Coturnix japonica: one gene and its partners. The protein of the gene in region 1 binds, or shares a complex with, the protein of each later gene. Links are inferred from orthologs where the notes say so. Each region holds a gene or a part of one and is shown on either strand. Other genes may lie near its edges.

Region 1 (5,403 bases):
GTTGCCCTGCGATGGTTTACCTTCTTCTACTGCCCACAGGGTGGAGAAGCTGGAGAATGTAGCCAAGTACAGTGCTGAAAAGTTTGAGGAGATCACCTCGAAGTGGGCCTTGGCCAAAGATATGACAATCCCTCAGGATCTGTGGCAGCTGCTGAACCAACAGCAGCAGCTGTGCACGCAGCTTCTGGATGAGAAGAACAAGCTCATTGGTGAACTGCAGCAGGTAGTGTGGGAGCCATGCGGAGGTAACCAGGGAGGACTGGAGTTTTCAAGCTTTGGAGGGTGCTGTTCTAAAGCAACAGCCATCCCCCTGGCCCACCGAGGCCCCAGCACATGGCTGGGATGCATGCAGTGTCAGTTGGTCCAGGACAAGAAGGGGATTGTTTTCCTAAAGGGAAGCAAGTCTTCTCCAGAGCAGGTTCCTTGGCCCTCAGCAGCAGGAGTGGCCTATTGCAGATGTTTCACCTTCCACTCTATCTTCTTACCAGCTATGACCGACCTTTGGTGGTGATGTCTCTCCTCCCACCTTTCCTCCTAAATACCTCATGACTTGCTGGCCTTTTGTCCTTGTCACCTTTGGAAAAGGCAGGATCTGGGTCCTACATTCTCTGTTATCCCCTAGTAAAACATTCTCTCTGATTTCAGCATCTGCTGTCCTCCTCCAGGAGCTGAAAAACAAAGATGAGCAATACGTGCAAACCATTAAGAAGCAGTCAGATGACATCCACCTGCTTTTGGAGAGAATGGAGGAGCAGACCAGGATGATGTTACGAACTTACCGTCACAATATCCATCAGATTGAGGTAGCCAGTTCATTCGGTAGAAGTAGAGTTCAGGGAGAAAGACTGCAGCTGTTCCCTTCTCCATATCTGTTGCCAAAAGGCCTCAGCCTCTTTCCACCAGCTGGGTTGATTACTGTCCAGAGCAGAGAGCTGATGTCTTGATGAATGAAGCTCAAATCTGGCCAATCAAGAGCACTGAATGATGCTGGGTGCTGAGGGGCTGCTTTATACGATGCTGTGGATGACTTTGGTTCAGCACAGAGAAACATGGTAACATTTGAAAGCTATTGCTCTTTCATGGCTGGTTAATTGTCTTGCTAAAAGCCAAGAAGGAGCCTTGTTGGTCATAATTCTTACCTTCTGCAGAGCATGGAAAGTCACAAATCAGTGTTGTTGAGCGAGGGTTCAATATCAGACAATGATTTCCATTGAATTCACAGAGCTGCCACCAAAAGCAGCTCTCATGGGTTAGGGTGACTTACAGCTGTCCCAGTGGGCTCACAATGTCAGATCTCTGCCATTGAGAGGAGACATCAGGCCTGTGTGTATGTTCATTAGACAGGAGCAGCTGTCAGTCCTCTCCTGGTGTGGACTAGAACGAGGCTGGCAAATTGAGGTGCCACTGTGATGGTAAATGGCTCTGTCTCCTTGGCAGAAAACTTTTGAGCACGAACGGCGAGAGCTGCTGGACAACAACAGGAAGAAGTGGGAGGAGGCCATCCAGGACCTCAACACAAAAGAGGTAAAGTCCCCATGAGATTTATAAACTCTGATGGTGGCTGCTTGTTTAGGTGCATGGTGGGCAGAGGGGCAGGTATTTCAGCCTGTTTTGCCAGGGAATAATCCATGCATGACCTTGCTTAGTGCTGGCAGAGGGAGCTGTGATCATGGGAGGAAGCTGTCACCTCTGATGGATGATATTCTTCTTTTGCCCTTAGCTGGAATACCTACATTCCCGTGTGAGCAAGATAGAAGAGTTTGAGAAAGAGCTGAATCAGCTGCGACTGCGGGATGAGGAGGAGTATAACAGCATGAAGATTCATCTGGAGAATGATGTGCAGGTACAGAAAGGGCTGGTGTGTGCCATGTGGTGTGACAGTTGAGCAGACCACCCTGGTTTGTTCATTGCTCTGGAGGGCAGCTGGATGGTGTGTCTGGTATCTGATCACCTCAGCTCTTCAGCATGCACAATCCAGCTCCATGCCAACAGCATGATGGAGCTTTTAGTCTCTCCTCTCAGTGGGATCCACAGCACAGTATCAATGTGCCTTTGGCTTCTAAGCGGTCTGTAGCAGCTCTAGGATCTATGAAGCAGCTGGGAGTGTTGAGGGTTTTGCTTCTTCAGAAGTCAAGTTTGGTAGGAGGATCAAATAGTGTGAGTGTTTTGACACCAGATCATTTCAGATCAGACTAACTGCCTCCCTTGCAAAAGTCCGTGGCCTAGGAGGTTTGAGTTTTTGCCTCTGACATCTAGCCCTGGGCTCATGATTTCTCTAGTAGCCATGAAGTCATAGAATCATAGAATGGCCTGGACTGAAAAGGACCACAATGATCATCCATTTTCAGCCCCCCTGCTATGTGCATGGTTGCCAACCACCAAACCAAACTGCTCAGAGCCACGTCCAGCCTGGCCTTGAATGCCTCCACTTCTGCTTCCTTGGCTAAGCAGAGGACACAACCACAGCTGACACCTTCCCTGCTTGTTGTTATTTGTTGTTTCCCATGCTGCATGGTACAAACAGATTTGCATTTGACTTAGTAAGGCTCATTGCTTATTGTGGTTTCACCCAGCAGGCAGCTCAGCACCACACAGCTGTTCACTCACTTCCCTTCAGTGGGGTGGGAGAAGGAATCAGGAAAAGGTGAAACTTGTGATTGGCATAAAGACAGTTTAATAGAACAGAAAAAGAAGGGGAGATAATAATAATAAAGAACATACAAAGCAAGTGGTGCACAATGCAGTTGCTCACTACTCCCTTATCCCCTCCACTTTTGTTGCTGAGCATGATGCCATTTGGTATGGGATATCCCTTCAGTGATTTTGGGTCAACTGTCCTGGTTCTTTTCCCTTCCAACACCTTGTGAACCCCTATTCTCCTCACTGTCCATGTGGGCAGCAACAAGAAGCAGAAAAGTCCTTGGCTCTGTGTAAGCACTGCTCTGCAACAACAACAACATCAATGTGTTATCAGAATTCTTTTCCTCCTAAATCCATAACATGGCACCATGCCAGACACTACAGAGAAAATTCACTCTGTCTCAGCCAAAACTAGGGCAGTCCCACATGATGTTTTCCTAGGAGGCCTGGGGAAATACAAGCTAGGAGCCGTGTCTGCAAGGTTTTGCAACACAAACAGCAGGTGAAACATTGCTGTCGCAAGGTCCCTGTCCACTTGATAGAGCAATTCCAAGGGGACAGTTCAGATTCTGTGACTTCATATTGATAACTCGGGCTGATATAGATTGTGTAACGTTCACAAATGTTTCTGAGCCATTTAGGGTGGGAGAAATGTGCCTGGGAAGCTGGGTTTGGAGTTACAGGTTTGGAGTTACTTACATTACTGAGTTATAGTCAGGCTTCTCTGTGTCCTTTGCTTACAGCACAGCTTCTTTCCATGTTTTCTGAATTGACAGAACCTGGAGAGGCAGATCCAGCATATGAAAGCTGTCTATTTGATCAACCAGGAGAAGCTGGAATACAACCTTCAGGTGCTTAGGAAGCAAGATGAGGAGAACACCATCATCAGGGCACAACAAAAGAGGAAGCTCAACCGGTAAAAAACCATCCCTGGAAAACGAACAGGCTCTGCTTTACCTGCTGCCATCTCCTAACATACCATTTGTTTTTGTGGAAACCATCACTAGCACAGGATTGAGCTCTGACCTGCCCCATCCCTGGGCAGGGGGAGAGTTTAGTCCAGGGCAGCACCATCCCCAGAACAGTTTGAATAATCTGGCAGTGACCAAACTGTGCCAACTAGGTGGGATTCAGTCAGGTCTTGGTGCTGGTCACTAGCAGATGGGTAGCTCCAACTCCCAAAGCCTTCATACATGTGAGATTTGCCCTAAAGTGCCTCTTTGGGAATCCCCAGCTTTGCTATCCCTCTCCAGGCTCAACAGCTTACTCAGTAATCTGAGAAAAAAACTGGTCAAACAAGAGAAGCAGTTCAGAGAGGAGAACCAGAGTCTTGTAGCTGAGTGCGAGCGCATCAACGGACGATGCAAGGATGTGCAGAGAAAGATGAGGTGGGCTGTGTTTGGAGGCCTGGCCATCCATCTGTGATGAGGCTTCAGAGCATTTGAATGACATACAGAGGGGGGCTGACTCATTTATGGACACAAAAGCTGCTTCTATGGGCTTTCTTTCTCTACACAGGCACTTTGCAGCCTGTGATGCTGACAAGTTCGTGAAGGTCTGGCTTATGAATGAGGAGGAAGCCAAAGGGTTAATGCGGAAAGCTCTCGATGCAGATCGAATCATTCACACCCAGCAACTGGGACTGCCCTGGGAAGAGCCTCATTACTGGTTCCTCAACAACGTCGGCCCCTGCGGGCAGTACAAGGCAAAGAAGACGGCAAGCAAATTGGCCGCAGAGGTCCTGACAGGTGAGACACAGCCTCAGTGCCCTTGTCACCTCTGTGGCACTGGGTAACCCTCACCTTCCTCCATGAGAGCCCCCACAGTCTCTCCTGTCTTTGTCATTGCAAAAGGATCTGACTGACTGTGTGAGTTCAGTCAGGTTTGGTATGTGCCTGCTCTGAGCTGGCTCATTCCAAGCCACCTTGGGGATCTTAGCACTGAGCTGTGCTCATTGCTCCCAGCACCAGATGAGCTGACCCAGAGCCAGCTCACATCCTGGTCTTTTTGGCATAATTTCCAGGTCACCAGGATGACCGTGATTTCCCTGATGAAAGCTGCAGTGATGTTACTAGTACTGACCTGGGGAGCACAGACAAAGCATAAAGACTTTTTTTCTCACCCTTTTTCTGTCTTGCAGAGAGCACCAGTGGGGCACAGGAAAAGAAAGAGAAGGAAGAAGTGGGCAGCGGAGAAGGCCGGAAAGAAAACATAGCAAAGGCTGGGGATACAATCAATCCTCTGCAAAATATATCCAAGAGAACTGCCAAGAGGATCCTGGAGCTCGTGAGCGATGAGTCGGTGCGTGATGATGCAGTAGGAGGAATATCCTCATGCTGCCCAGCTGCTGCCCTTGGAGGGTGGCACAGCCATAGCATGGCACAAGTTGGCTGCAGGGTGCTGGGTTCTGGGCCTGAATGGAGATGCTCACTGTTTCTGTGCTTCCTTTGTGTCTGCCAAGGGTTTCCTCATTGAGAGAAAGCTGCTGGGGCCTCTGCGTGCGCTGGGAAAGCATGATTGCACCCTCTTGAGGCTTGACTCCATCTTTTCGGTGAGTTGTCTGTTGGCCCATCAGCAGTGTCGTGATAGTCTGAGTCTTTGCTCTGAACTGGTCAGGCCACTGCTGGGGAGCTGCCTCTATGTTTGACCTCTCTCCTCTTGGAAACTGGGAACCAAGTAGGAAAGTCTGGAGCAGGAGGCTGGAGAAAGGTCTGGAGAACATGAGGAGTGATGGGCAGCCAGAAGAACAAACTGTGATTCATA
Region 2 (5,991 bases), on another chromosome or scaffold:
CTGCTGTTCGTTCTGGAGCCAGTGCCTCTTTGCCCAGCTCTGCAGAACCGGCACCCGCTGTGTAGGTGCAGGGCTGGGGCAGCAAAGGCAGCTCCCTCCTGTGGCCTTGATGCTACCGCCCTGGGTGCCCAGGGCTATTTGATGGAGGGAACAGCAGCTCCCCAACCCTGTGCCCCCTGCAGGACGGGCGATGCTGCCTGGAGCAGCTGCCATGGGCCCCATCAGTCCCATTCCCCGCAGCCGGCAGCCCCCCGCCCCTCACAGCCCTTTTGTGTCGGTGAGACAAAAGCACAGCCTGTTCAGAGCCCAGAGCCCAGACAAGGGGCGTTTTGTCTCCTGAGAAGAGCTGGCGGGGCTGGGCAGAGGCAGTGCCTGGAAAAGCCCCTCGTCAGGGACAGCCAGGGCTGAGCTGGCACTGGGCAGGGCCAAGAGGCCCAGTGTGTGTGCAGCAGCATAGGGCACTATGGCCCCTGGTCTGCTTGGTGTCACAGCTGGACCCAGCTACCCACCGCTGGGCCCTGTCCTAGTTAGCTGCTGGGTGAGATGGTATGGGGACAGGCTCACTGGGGGCAGGGCATTGCCTCCTTCCCCCAGGCAGCTGGCACTGTGGTGGGCAGGGGACAGAAATCCCACTGCCCAAAGGAGCCAGCAGAGGGAAAGGGAAATTAACAATGGCATTTGACAAGGAAGCAGCACAATGCCCAAGCGACTGTCCCAACACCATGTCCCAGCCCTGCAAGGTAGGACAGGACACCCATCACTACCACCACCCCTCCTCCATCTGGGAAACCAGATTCCCACCCTGCTCCTTGGCCAGGAAGAGCCATGCACATCCTCAACCTCAACCCCAGGGTGGGCAACCACCATCCAAAGCACGTCCTTCCCCCGCCATCATCCCATCCCCACTCCCCCCAGCAGAGCCCCCACCCACCGGGGCGCTGGTCCCTGCCGCAGCAATCCCCTCTGGCCCCCGTCTGCATGTCGTCTCCGTGCTGCGTTGCTCAGGCTCACCGGCTGTCTCCTGGCAAGGAGCAAGGCCAGCATCAGGGCTCGGTGCTCTGCTGACTCACGTCAACCGCAGAGTGAGACAGCAGTGGGCTCCATTCACCCCAATGGGGGGCTCCGGTCACCCCACCAGGATCCCCAACCCATCTCAAGGACCTGGTGAGGTGGGAGGGCATGGCCGGGGCTGTCAGCGAGCGGCACAGCGGCGCACAGGGCACAGTCAGGAGGGATGGGAGGAGAGGAGACACACACTGAGGAGGGATGGGAGTGTGCAGGAGACACACGATGCCGCCCGAACAACACCACGGCTCCAGGAACCCCCGGGTGTAGCGTTACGGCCGGTGCCCGCAGGTGTCACACCGCTGCCTGCAGGCAGGTGGCAGCGCCACGGCTCCGGCTCCATGGGGCACATCTCAGACTCCTGCGAGCCCGGCTGAACCGCTCAGCGGGGCGGGGGTTCAGATAGGGCAGGGGTGGGGGTCATATAGGCACCGCAGGGGTGGGGTTCATGATAGGGCAGGGGTGGAGGAGTTCATCTTTGGGCAGGGGGTGGGGGTTCATAGTAGGGCAAGGGGTGGGGGTTCATATAGGGCAGGGGGTGGGGGTTCATATAGGGCAGGGGGTGGGGGTTCATATAGGGCAGGGGTGGGGGTTCATATAGGGCAGGGGGTGGGGGTTCATATAGGGCAGGGGTGAGATGTGCCGCACTCCATGTCCCCAGCTCACAGCCACCTTCATGTTCGTAGTGCAGGTCTGCTCCCCGTTCGGACACACCCCCTGCACACACACCCCCCTCCCGTTGCACACCTACCCTCCCCCTCCCCGTCACCCCCGTGCCCCGCTCGGCCCGACCCGATCCCGCGGTGCCGGGCTGCCCTCACCCCACTCCAGCCCCCCCCATCCCCGCTCACCTGCGGTACCGGCCCGCTCCCGGAGCCTCCATGGGCCGGCCGGGCCGGGCCGGTGCCGGTTGCCGGTGTCGGTGCTCGGTGCCCGGTACTGGGCGGGGCGGGGTGGGCCCGGTGCCAGCCCGCAGCCCGCTCGCTCCTGCCCGCCGCGGGGGTGGGGCCGGGGGCGGGCAGGGGGCGGAGGCCGGAGCCGGGGGGGGGGACCCGTCCTAACGTTGCCTGGGAGATCACGCAGCAGCCGTGGCCGCCATGGTGAGGGGTTGGGCCGGGCCGGGCCGCGGGGCCTTCAACACTCAGCTTAGCGGCCCAGGGGGCCCGGAGCCGGGCGTGGGGGCTCCGGGAAACGGGGCTGTCCTGGGTGGGGTGGTGGGCACCTGGAACTCGGTGCTGAGGGAAGAGCTGGTTGTGCTGTGTCTGGGCCTTCCGCCTGGGGGGGGTGCCCTGGGGAGGGGTCGGGGTCCTGGTCCTGGTCCTGGTCCTGGTCCTGGTTCTGGTTCTGGTTCTGGTCCTGGTCCGAACATAGCACCCGTTCCACCCCGCCATGGCAGCAGGTGTGCTGTGTTGGCATCCTGTGAGCCCTGTGCAGCACAGCTCCCACTCACACTGTGCTTACAACTCACAACTTTCATTTTCTTTCTGCAGGCACCCAAAAAGAAAGGTGGAAAAGGGGGGAAAAAGGGCAAAGCCGCAGCAGTGCCGGAAGCTGTGCCCCTAGAAGAGATGAGCAAGGAGCAGGTGAGTGCTGTGCTATCCCTTGTGCCATGGCTGAGGCCCCAGGCTGACAGGTGGCAGTGGGGTCTGTTCTCCCCTTTAACTAGATTTCCTTTACCTTTCTGATATGAGCAGTCTCTTCTCTGCAGGTTATTGTGCTTAAGCTCAACCCCCTGTTCTCTCAGTCTACATCTCTGTGCTTTGCAGCCCACTGAACTCTCAGCACGTCCCGAATTGTGCTGCTTTGGGGGTGGGAGGCTCCCCTAGTGACAGCGAGGACAAGTAGATGCCATAGCTGCCCAACACGGGCCTACTGCCCTGGATGTCCTATAAACACAGGAGGAGATAATACTGTTCTGGGGCACCTTGGTCTGCAGATAAGATCTCACATGTCTCAGTGTTATTTAGCATCTGAGAATGTGAGACGGAATGCCTGAGCCCTGTCTGCTTATGAAAGGACGAGATCTTGTTGCTCTTTTTCGGGGGTCATTTGTCAATTCCTGAGCACTTCGCTCCTTCTGTTCTCTCTTAGAGAGAAAATAAATAAAGGCTTCCATACCACGTCCTCCAGGCTTGTAACAGAGCTCACCACTGATATCTGTGAGGCCTGTTTTTCAAGGGAGCTGTGCTCCTTCTCCCTCTACTTCTCTTTTCCTCTTTGCTTTGCAGCTGCTGGAGCACACTACACGTCTCAGGAAGGAGCTGGACCGGGAACGGGAAGAGCGCAACTACTTCCAGCTGGAGCGTGACAAGATCCACACCTTCTGGGAGGTCACCCGACGGCAGCTGGAGGAGAAGAAAGCAGAGCTGCGTAACAAGGACAGGGAGATGGAGGAGGCAGAGGAGCGGCATCAAGTAGAGATCAAGGTGGGAGGGTGAGATGTGTGGCCCTTTTTTTTCCCTCGTGCCCTGGGAGATAAGGGAAGGAGACAGAGGGGGAGTAGCTGGGCTGGATACAAGTCAGGAGTGTCTCAGTTCATACCCGAACTTCAGATGTTTTTCTGCTGGCTCCTGCTGATGTCTCTCACCTGGTCTCTGGCTTGTTTTCAGGTTTACAAGCAGAAGGTGAAGCACTTGTTGTATGAACACCAGGAAAACCTCTCCGAGCTGAAAGTAGAGGGTACCTTGTCCATGAAACGGGCCCAGAAGGATCACTGGGCTCAGGAGACAGAGCTGCGCAAAGAGATGCGTTCCTTGAAAGTGGACCTGAAGGAGCAAGAGCTGGCCAACGAGGTGGTGGTGAAAAACCTGCGCCTGGTAAGTGTCTGGCTGGGCAGATCTGCATGCAAAGTGCCTTCGCTGCAGAGGGAAGTGGTGGGTCTCTGGTATGCAAGCAGGAGGCTACATCCTCTGGTGTCTTGGTGAGGTGGGAATGGGGTTTCCCACAGATATAAGTGTCAGATGTACTTGAGAGGCACTGGAAAGAGCACAGGAACAGGGACAATGGGTTCCTGGGGCGAGTGCTGTGAAAGCTCTCCTGCAGGAAAGAGAGTCAATCTCATGGCTCAAAGCCACGAGGACAGCTGGAAAACCTAATACAGGTTGGTTTGTATAATAGGTTCATGCTGTGGTGGCAGCCTTTCGCAGGGAGCAGGAAAGGCTCCTGCAGGATGTGGCTGACCATGTTTTTTTTCTGCTTGCTGGGACAGCACCTGATTGCTGGACTCCAGCCCTGTGGCTGGACATGGCCTGTGTGGACATCAGTGACTGGAGAATGGCCGCCTCTAGCCTGTGCTGTATAGTGATGCAGTGACCTCAGGATTGAGTTGTGTGCCTCTAACATGATACTTTTCCCTAACAGAAACAAGAGGAGGAGATCACACAGCTATGCAATGACTTCGAGAGACAAGTGAAAGGTCAGGACATGCTCGAAGCCCCTGTGTCTGTGTGCTGAGGAAGCCTCCTTGGAGCTCCTCTGTGCTGTTAGCCTTCCTGGAGAAGAAAGAGGCCACTTCTCCCCTCGATTCTTGCTCTCTGCTCATGGCTGCTGGGCTGTGTGGCTAACAGTGCTGTCCAAACTGAACTCAGCCTGGCTTGAATGTGCTGTGAAAATGGAGCCTGGACAGGCTGGGTGGAGGCAGGGCTCTCACTGCTGCCAGCCCATACTGCTGAGCACAGTTGCCTGGCTGGGTGGCTGGAGGAGTCCTTTCAGATTTAAGTCCTGGCTCCAGTGCTCTCCTCAGGGGACGCATCAGGTTCTCACGGGCTGCCTTGGAGCGTTTCCATGCCCTGTTTCCAGGATGCTATTTCTGGGCTCTGCTCTCCATGGTCCCAACGTAACTGCTCCGTGTGCTGGTGGCAGCTGCTGTGGGGCTGTTAACAAGCATCTTGTCTTTGAGCAGTGCTGCAGTGGCACATGTTGGGCTGCTGCTTGCTAACAGAGCCTAGGTTCTGTGGGAGGGTCTCATTCGGCCCCCTGTGCACTTCCCCAGAGATGGAGGCCAGGTACAACAGGAAGATGCAAGCTCTGCGGGATCAGCTTGACCTGCGCCGAAAGACTGAGATCCATGAAGTCGAGGAGAGGAAAAACAACCAGATCAGTGAGCTGATGAAGAACCATGAGAAAGCCTTCCATGACTTCAAGAACTACCATGAAGATGTCACCTTCCAAAACCTGGCGCTCGTCAGCTTGCTGAAGGTAATGCCTGCCTGCTCTCTGACCCCGCTGCTGCAGCCCTGTTGTGTAGTGTCACCAGGGAGCTGGTCCAGTAACTTGCCCCAGATCTGGCCAGTTCCCTGGTGGAAGTCCTGGCACTCCTGTTTTCCTGGGAGTTGTACGACATTACATGAGCAAAGTTCTTGTACACAGAGAGATGTGGCTTGCTGGGCCAGCACTGGGAGGGTGTTGGGACTTGGGAAGCTGTGAGGAGCTGGGCAGACCCTGCCTATAGGAACTAGCACTTGTGTTCCCAAAAACAGGAACAGGTGGAGGAGGCGAAGCAGAGAGAAACTCAACTGGAGAAGGAGAAGGCAGATGCCTTGCTTCAGAACAAGCAACTGAAGGAGACCCTGCAGCAGGCCCAGGAGCTGGTGTTTGAGCTGCAGAAGAAGTTGGCCCACTACGATAAGGACAAGGAGGCTCTGATGGTGAGCTGCCAGCCCTGCTGAGCCCTTTTCTATTCTTTCCTGGGTCACTTTGGCTGTTTCCTGGCATTGCTCAGCAGTGACCTCTGCCGCTCGGCTGAGAGCTCTTCGGCCAGACTGCTGGGCAAATGCACTGGGGTCCCTTTCAGCTTATTTGGATGCGTGTAAGAACTCAGACAGGACTCCAGAACTCTGGCAGCAAGAAAGAAGAGCAGACCCTGCTGCAGAGAGGGAAGGGTGTTGGTGTGGCTGTAGCTTGTGTTCTCTCAACCCCATTTCTTCT
Region 3 (6,197 bases), on another chromosome or scaffold:
AGGGGATGAAAAAGAGGAAAGTACAAAAATGGAACAGATTATTCTGTATTTTATTTCCAATAAAAATTTAGATCCTGGATGGATACAGCATCTGAAAAACACAACAACAGAATCACGTTAGAATTCCTGTTATTGGACTGTACAAGTCAGCAAATTTATAGCTATCATCTGAATCATGGATCTCTTCAACTATTTTAAGTGACTCCCATTTATGCAGAAAAGGGGCAGGAAAGTCTAACAAGGAGCTGAGTGACGTGAAGCAGCATCTGATGGTATCAAAGCTCCCACCCAGCAGTCACTCTCCTGCTCAGCCTTCCCATGCCTACTTTGAGGACTCTGCCATGCAGCTCATGCAGTTATATGGGGAGTAAGAGAAGTTGATGCCGCAGCTCCCTTGCCACTAGGTAGGAAATGAGGCAGAGTACAAAAAGCAATGGTGCAAGATGAGATTACGAGGCAGCCCAAAGGCTGACAAGGAGCCCCTGGTTCCTAATGCTGCTCACCACTCGGATCCTGTGTCCGATGGCCTTGGCGGGGAGGTTGGAGCGGAACTTGGCACGAACCATCCCGCTGTTCCCATGGGCGCGGGTCACCTTCCCCCAGATCACCCGCGTCCTGTTGGGTTTCCCACCGGGGGTGACGGTGTTGCTGAGGGAACAAAAAGACACAGAACTCAGTGTGTTTCCTTTGGAATGAACCTGGAGTATCTTAACGTAGGATTTCTCCAGTCACACCACAGGCACAAAGGGCCTCAGGCATCGAGACAGGCAGCAGCTACAAGAAGCCACGTGCCACCCTTGAAATGACAGCAGTGATGAACAGCCTGACAAATTTATTACAGGGAATTCCACATCTGACATCAGAACAACCACTCTCAAAGAAAAATCAAGCAGAAGACAATAAACAATTGTTCTTAAAGCCTCTACCACTGCAGGCACAGCAGAGCTGTGACACACACACACAAGGGCTGCTCTATCAACTTCTTTTTGCCTGGCAAAATATTCCACCTCTAAGGATCTCAAAAACTCAATGATCACCACAAACTCATCTCGCTTCAATTTGCTGCCAACCAACTGACTGCTCACATCCCGGCATTTGCAAAAGATAATAAAAGACGACCAACTTACTTCTTAGCTTTGTAGACATAGGCACATCTCTTGCCTAAGTAGAACTCTGTCTCCTGGCGAGCGTAAACACCTTCAATTTTCAGCAGGGCAGTGTGCTCCCGCTGGTTCCGGAGGCCACGTTTGTAGCCAGCAAAAGTGGCCTTGCACCACAACCTAAAGACATGGAGAAAGAACAGATTAACTCAGTTTAACACATTAAACTTTGGTTGGAAGGGACCTCAAAGCCCACCGTGTACCATGGGCTGGATGCCTCCACCAGCTCAAGCTGCCCAGGGCCCATCCAACTTGGCCTTGGGCACCTGCAGGGAGGGGGCACCCACAGCTTTGGGTAGCACTGCTGGTTCCTCAATGCTTAATGAGTATAAAAACATCTTCACATCTCACAGAAATCTATTAGGCCATGTAAGAAGTTGGTCCCCCCTTCTGTTTCTATGTTCCCTTCAAGGCTGAACTGCTACAGCCAGCTGAAGACAGGGGTTTCAAGAGAGCAACACAAACGTAGCGATGTAACACACACACACAGAGATCGCCCTGTGTGTGCACCGGGCAGCGCCGTGCTGGGACAGCAGAGACTCAGCGGTGCCGTCAGCACAGCGCAGCTCCCCATCCAGCCGTACAGACACAGGCAGACACTCACCTCCCGGTCATGGCGTCCTCGTGCAGCGCAGTCCCGGCAGCTCAGCCTACAAACAACACACCCCGCTCAGTGCCCACAGCCCGACAAGGCCTCAGCACCGCGGGCTGCAGCGGGCCGGCTCCGGCTCCTCACAGCGCAAGGCCCCGCCGGCACCTCAGCTCCCTTCAGCCCCAGAGCCGACACCATCCGCCGTGTATCGGCGCCATCCCGCCCGCTCCACACCCGACACCCCGCCATCCGCCCCGCCCCGGTGTCCCCGCCGCCGCCGGGATGGTCATTGCCCGACACAACGCCCGACACAACGCCCGACACAACACCCCGCCCGCCGCACCCCGCTCACCAGCACGGCGCGCAGCCAAGATGGCGGCCAAAGGACGAGGCGGCGCGCGGCCCGCCGGGATTGCGGCTCTAAGGGCCCCGGCTGCGGGCTGCCCGTGTCACAGCCTGAGCGCACACGGTACGGGCCGACACAGCGCTGGGTGTGCACCGATATCGGTGCCTTTTGTCGTCCCTCGCCATGTCCGTGAGTCCCGTTACTCCTCCGGGCGGCGATGAGGGAACAGGCCTCGGCACCCGCAGGGACAGCCCCGCCAGGACCCCGGGCGCCATGGAGACGGCGTCGCGTTGAGCGCCGCGGAACGGTACTGAGCGGTGAGGGAGAGGGGTGGGCTTTGGTTTAGTGTTACTAACACCATCCCACCTCTATTCCTCTTTATTCCTCTTTACAAGAGCACAGGCACTAAAGAAATGGAGAAGCTCCCTCGGCTGGAAGCTCTGCTGCTCACTGCTGTGCTGGAGAATTGCATCGATCAGCTCGCCATCCTCGGGTACATCATGCCGGTTTCACAGGAGGGCAAGGCAGATGTCAGCAGTGTATGTGCCTCTGTGTTTGCTCTCATTTTTCTCAATGCCTTTTATGTCTTCTGTCAGCATTCTATAAGTCTCCACACAGGTACTTGTCTCTTTGGCATGGCTGTGTGAAGGACCCTGGTGACATAAGATGAGCTTCTGAGGCTTCATTCTACAACCTCAGTGGTCAGATGATAAGTAAAGGATCAGGGGAAAATAAACAACAGATGGCTGACGTCTCCTAAGTGCACAGCTTTATAAATAATAAAGAACAGGGACTTTGATAATACCCCAAATCAGGGTCATTCTGATACTCTATAAGCACACACTGAAGCTCCTCTAGTCCCCACAGACAACAAAATAAGACAGATTTCCCTTCAAAAATCTATTAGTAACTACTCATTATTAATGCCCGTTATTAATGAGTTGATTTCTAATAGACACCGTAACTAAGTGGTTCTGGGGAGAGGCATAAAGTAGAGCAGAAGCTGCTCGACATAACTGTAGTGCTCGATCAATGCTCCGGCTGCGCTATAGAGGGCACTGCTCTCCTTAGAGAGCACCCTGAGCCCGTCTCACCTGTTGGCCGAGGATGCTTTTCTCCCACAGATGGGGCTGTGAAAGCTCCGCTGTGCCAGCTGATCTGATACAGCAGATCCCGAGAATGGTGGGCGCAGTTCTCCTTCTCCCTCACACACACTGAGGCTGACAGACCTCCTAGAGGTACACTTGGTTTTTCTCTTCAAACACAGAGGCTCGTTTTTACTAAGTAGTTTATTTCTTAAGACACAACTTTCCCATGGAGTACAATCCTCAAATCAAGGAGGAAGCAGTTTAGAAACCAGAAAATGGCTCTGGAGAAGCCAACTTTTAGAGCCTCAGTCACTGTGTTGCTTGTTCCTAAATCAGGGACTCTTGTAGACTGCTTCATGCAGTGCATTCCCCAGAGAAGGCAGCCCTTCTGTCTGCTAAATTTAGGGCAAAAGACCAGCAAAGATAAACAGCAGGGACTGCATGGATGGCACCACACGCCATTTACAGTCTCCTTGCTCTCCTGTAGTTCTTTGGCAATTATTAGTGCTTAATTCTCTACTGTTTACAGATAATCCAGTTATAGCCTGTTTTCAGCTTTCCCAGACATTATAAACAGCTATTACAGCACCCATAAAAGCTACATGATATTAAAAACTATTTGTTTGCCTAGAATAGTTATTTCAGAAATACAGCCTTCACCATCCAACTACTTACACCCCTTTTTCTTCCCCCTAATTAACCACGTAATTTTCATAGGTCTCAGGATACTTTGCATGAGATTCATTTCATGTAAATTTAACTGTCCAAAAATTAAGCATGGAGTCACTTAGTCTCCTTCTGCACTCAGTGGTGACTCATGCGGTCCAGGGGCTACTTCCTCCCCTCCTAAGCTGCATTCAGGAGCATCAGCCTTTTGCAGCGCCCTGCACGCTGTCCCCATTGACCACAGCAGGACCTCGAACACGAATAGAGCCTTTCTCCATCAGGGTCTTCTTAGAATTATTACCAGCATATGCTGTTCCTGCTCTGACCTCTTGTTTTCACTCTGCCCTTTGTGCTGTGTTGGCACAAACATTTGTGTGGTTGTGCAGTGATCTGGACTGCTAAAAATATATCTTTTTTCTTTCTTTCTTTCTTTTTTTTTTTTTGCTGGAAAATGTTTCAGTGAGTTGTTTTTTCCATTTCACGAGCAGTCAGGGTGGGCAATAGGCAGCTACGGACTAGGATGAGGATGGAAGCCTCTGCATTAGTTGGCTCTGGTGGTGCTGCTGTGAAGTACGTAGTGACAGGCTAAGATCAGCTTCTGTTCTTATGACTACACTGTAAGTAAAGGCCTTGGTGACAGGCATAGGGCAAAGGCTGAGGAGAAACAGATTAACAAGCTTCCTGTATATAAAAGCTGCTGCAAAGGAAGGAAGGAAGGATTTTTTTCTGTGCCTACAGAGACTGGGATGAGAAGTCAGGGGCTCAGCTGCTGAAGTTTCAGAAGCTTCCTTACAAGAATGGCACGCTGGTACTGACTGCAGGGCAATACAGCCTCCATGGCTGGGGGTCCTTAAGAACCAAACATCTGAATCATCACCTCTTGGGGCAGGTGAACCGACCTTCTGAGGCCTTTTCTAGTCCTGTCACTTTTGGCCTTTTGATCCCATCAACTTCAGTAAGCCTAAATTGTGTGCTCACATCTCACCCAGATGAACATTTCTGGTATTTGGTTCTTTGTAGACTCATCAACTGGCCATCGTATAGGTGGATTCTTGTTTATTGTTAATTCTTCTTCCTCCCACATAAAGCTGCATAGAGTCTATTCCTATTGCTCAATGTGCAAGCAGGTTTCTCTTACTCTCTTTTAGATCAACAGCCAGGAAATGAAAGAAATCACAGACACACAGAATGTGCAGGACATTAAGTATCAAGAGCTTCCCCCTGCAAAGCAAGGGAGTGGGGAAACTGTTACCTCGAAGTCTCTGAAAAGCACTGAACAGAAGCAGCAGCTGGGGAACTCTGCGGATCCAAAACGAGCCCAACATCCTTCCAAAAGGGCCACGAAACCCAATGCTCCATCTGCAGAATATCTCAGAAAAATTCAGGCTGACAGGTAAGTGAAGCACAAGTGTGATGCCTGTGCAGGATGCTCAGAGCTGTAAAGTTCTCACTTTACCTCTGCAAAGCAAAATACAGGCTTCTCATCCTCCCACTGCTAGTGTTCCCCAGTTGTGGCTATATCTAAGAATGGCTATATCTAAGGGGAGCACCATGGCCTTGCCATGAGATCTCATGATCTCAGTTATTCTGTAGGGTACACAGAAGCCCTATGGCAGTAGGGCAATAATTGATAAAGGTGCCAGACTCCGTGTTATCAGTGTACACCTATACATTACTGTTGTGTTCCTTTTCTCCCTGGTAGGCAGTATGTGAGTGATGTAATTACAGCCACTATGAAGAAGATGGAGGAATCGGGAACATTTGATAGCCTAATAGAAGCTAATGGGAGAGAGAAAGCAAAGAAAAGCAACTTGAATGACATCCTCATCAGGTCAGAGTTGTGCTTTGTACTTTTCTGATTAGTGACCTAGAGCCAAAGCTCATTTTCCCTCATTATACAATGTAAAAGGAAAACAAAAACAAACTCTACATCAAGATATGGAAGGGATCCCTTTTCAGCTTGAATTATCCTGACTACTTCACAAATTGCATTTGCCCTTGGAGAGGAAAATAACTGACTGTAATAATACTAATCTGACTTGGGAATTGCCTGAGCTTGGACCACAGCGGACACCAGTGTCTGCATTGATGCAAACTCTGCTCCATATCAATTAAAACATAATGTGATGGAGGAGTTTTCTGACCTTCAACTCCTTGTCCCCAGAGGAAGCCAGAGTAGCAAATAATCTGCTCAAACCAAGGTCAGCAACATACGGACTTGAGGTTATACGATGCCCAGGAGAATCTGCTTTGACCCAAATGCTAATGTGCTCCCTTTTTCCAATGCAGGGTTAGCACAGATGGTGGCAGAGGCAATTGTCTTTTGAACGTGAAGCCCACCACTT

The links. The genes of interacting proteins can lie anywhere in the genome.
Region 2: DRC1 (region 1) and GAS8 share a complex: the UniProt entries of both Homo sapiens proteins name them as parts of the nexin-dynein regulatory complex. The link is inferred for Coturnix japonica from reciprocal best matches to the Homo sapiens genes DRC1 and DRC4.
Region 3: DRC1 (region 1) and IQCG share a complex: the UniProt entries of both Homo sapiens proteins name them as parts of the nexin-dynein regulatory complex. The link is inferred for Coturnix japonica from reciprocal best matches to the Homo sapiens genes DRC1 and DRC9.

What each region holds. Positions count from the first base shown.
Region 1 is NC_029518.1:96,157,518-96,162,920, forward strand, and holds part of DRC1 (dynein regulatory complex protein 1), read left to right. Parts: intron 1-39; coding exon 40-223; intron 224-665; coding exon 666-803; intron 804-1,437; coding exon 1,438-1,524; intron 1,525-1,720; coding exon 1,721-1,843; intron 1,844-3,416; coding exon 3,417-3,556; intron 3,557-3,893; coding exon 3,894-4,028; intron 4,029-4,158; coding exon 4,159-4,388; intron 4,389-4,780; coding exon 4,781-4,941; intron 4,942-5,101; coding exon 5,102-5,191; intron 5,192-5,403. UniProt on the Homo sapiens protein: Component of the nexin-dynein regulatory complex (N-DRC) a key regulator of ciliary/flagellar motility which maintains the alignment and integrity of the distal axoneme and regulates microtubule sliding in motile axonemes.
Region 2 is NC_029526.1:16,806,341-16,812,331, forward strand, and holds the start of GAS8 (dynein regulatory complex subunit 4), read left to right. Parts: upstream 1-2,086; 5' UTR 2,087-2,162; coding exon 2,163-2,165; intron 2,166-2,555; coding exon 2,556-2,648; intron 2,649-3,293; coding exon 3,294-3,491; intron 3,492-3,674; coding exon 3,675-3,881; intron 3,882-4,425; coding exon 4,426-4,480; intron 4,481-5,056; coding exon 5,057-5,262; intron 5,263-5,543; coding exon 5,544-5,711; intron 5,712-5,991. Other genes in the region: DBNDD1 (dysbindin domain-containing protein 1), read right to left, coding at 1-39, 932-980. UniProt on the Homo sapiens protein: Component of the nexin-dynein regulatory complex (N-DRC), a key regulator of ciliary/flagellar motility which maintains the alignment and integrity of the distal axoneme and regulates microtubule sliding in motile axonemes.
Region 3 is NC_029524.1:13,173,861-13,180,057, reverse strand, and holds the start of IQCG (dynein regulatory complex protein 9), read left to right. Parts: upstream 1-2,292; 5' UTR 2,293-2,315; coding exon 2,316-2,405; intron 2,406-2,493; coding exon 2,494-2,637; intron 2,638-5,000; coding exon 5,001-5,245; intron 5,246-5,554; coding exon 5,555-5,683; intron 5,684-6,197. Other genes in the region: RPL35A (60S ribosomal protein L35a), read right to left, coding at 68-91, 504-648, 1,128-1,280, 1,765-1,775. UniProt on the Homo sapiens protein: Component of the nexin-dynein regulatory complex (N-DRC), a key regulator of ciliary/flagellar motility which maintains the alignment and integrity of the distal axoneme and regulates microtubule sliding in motile axonemes.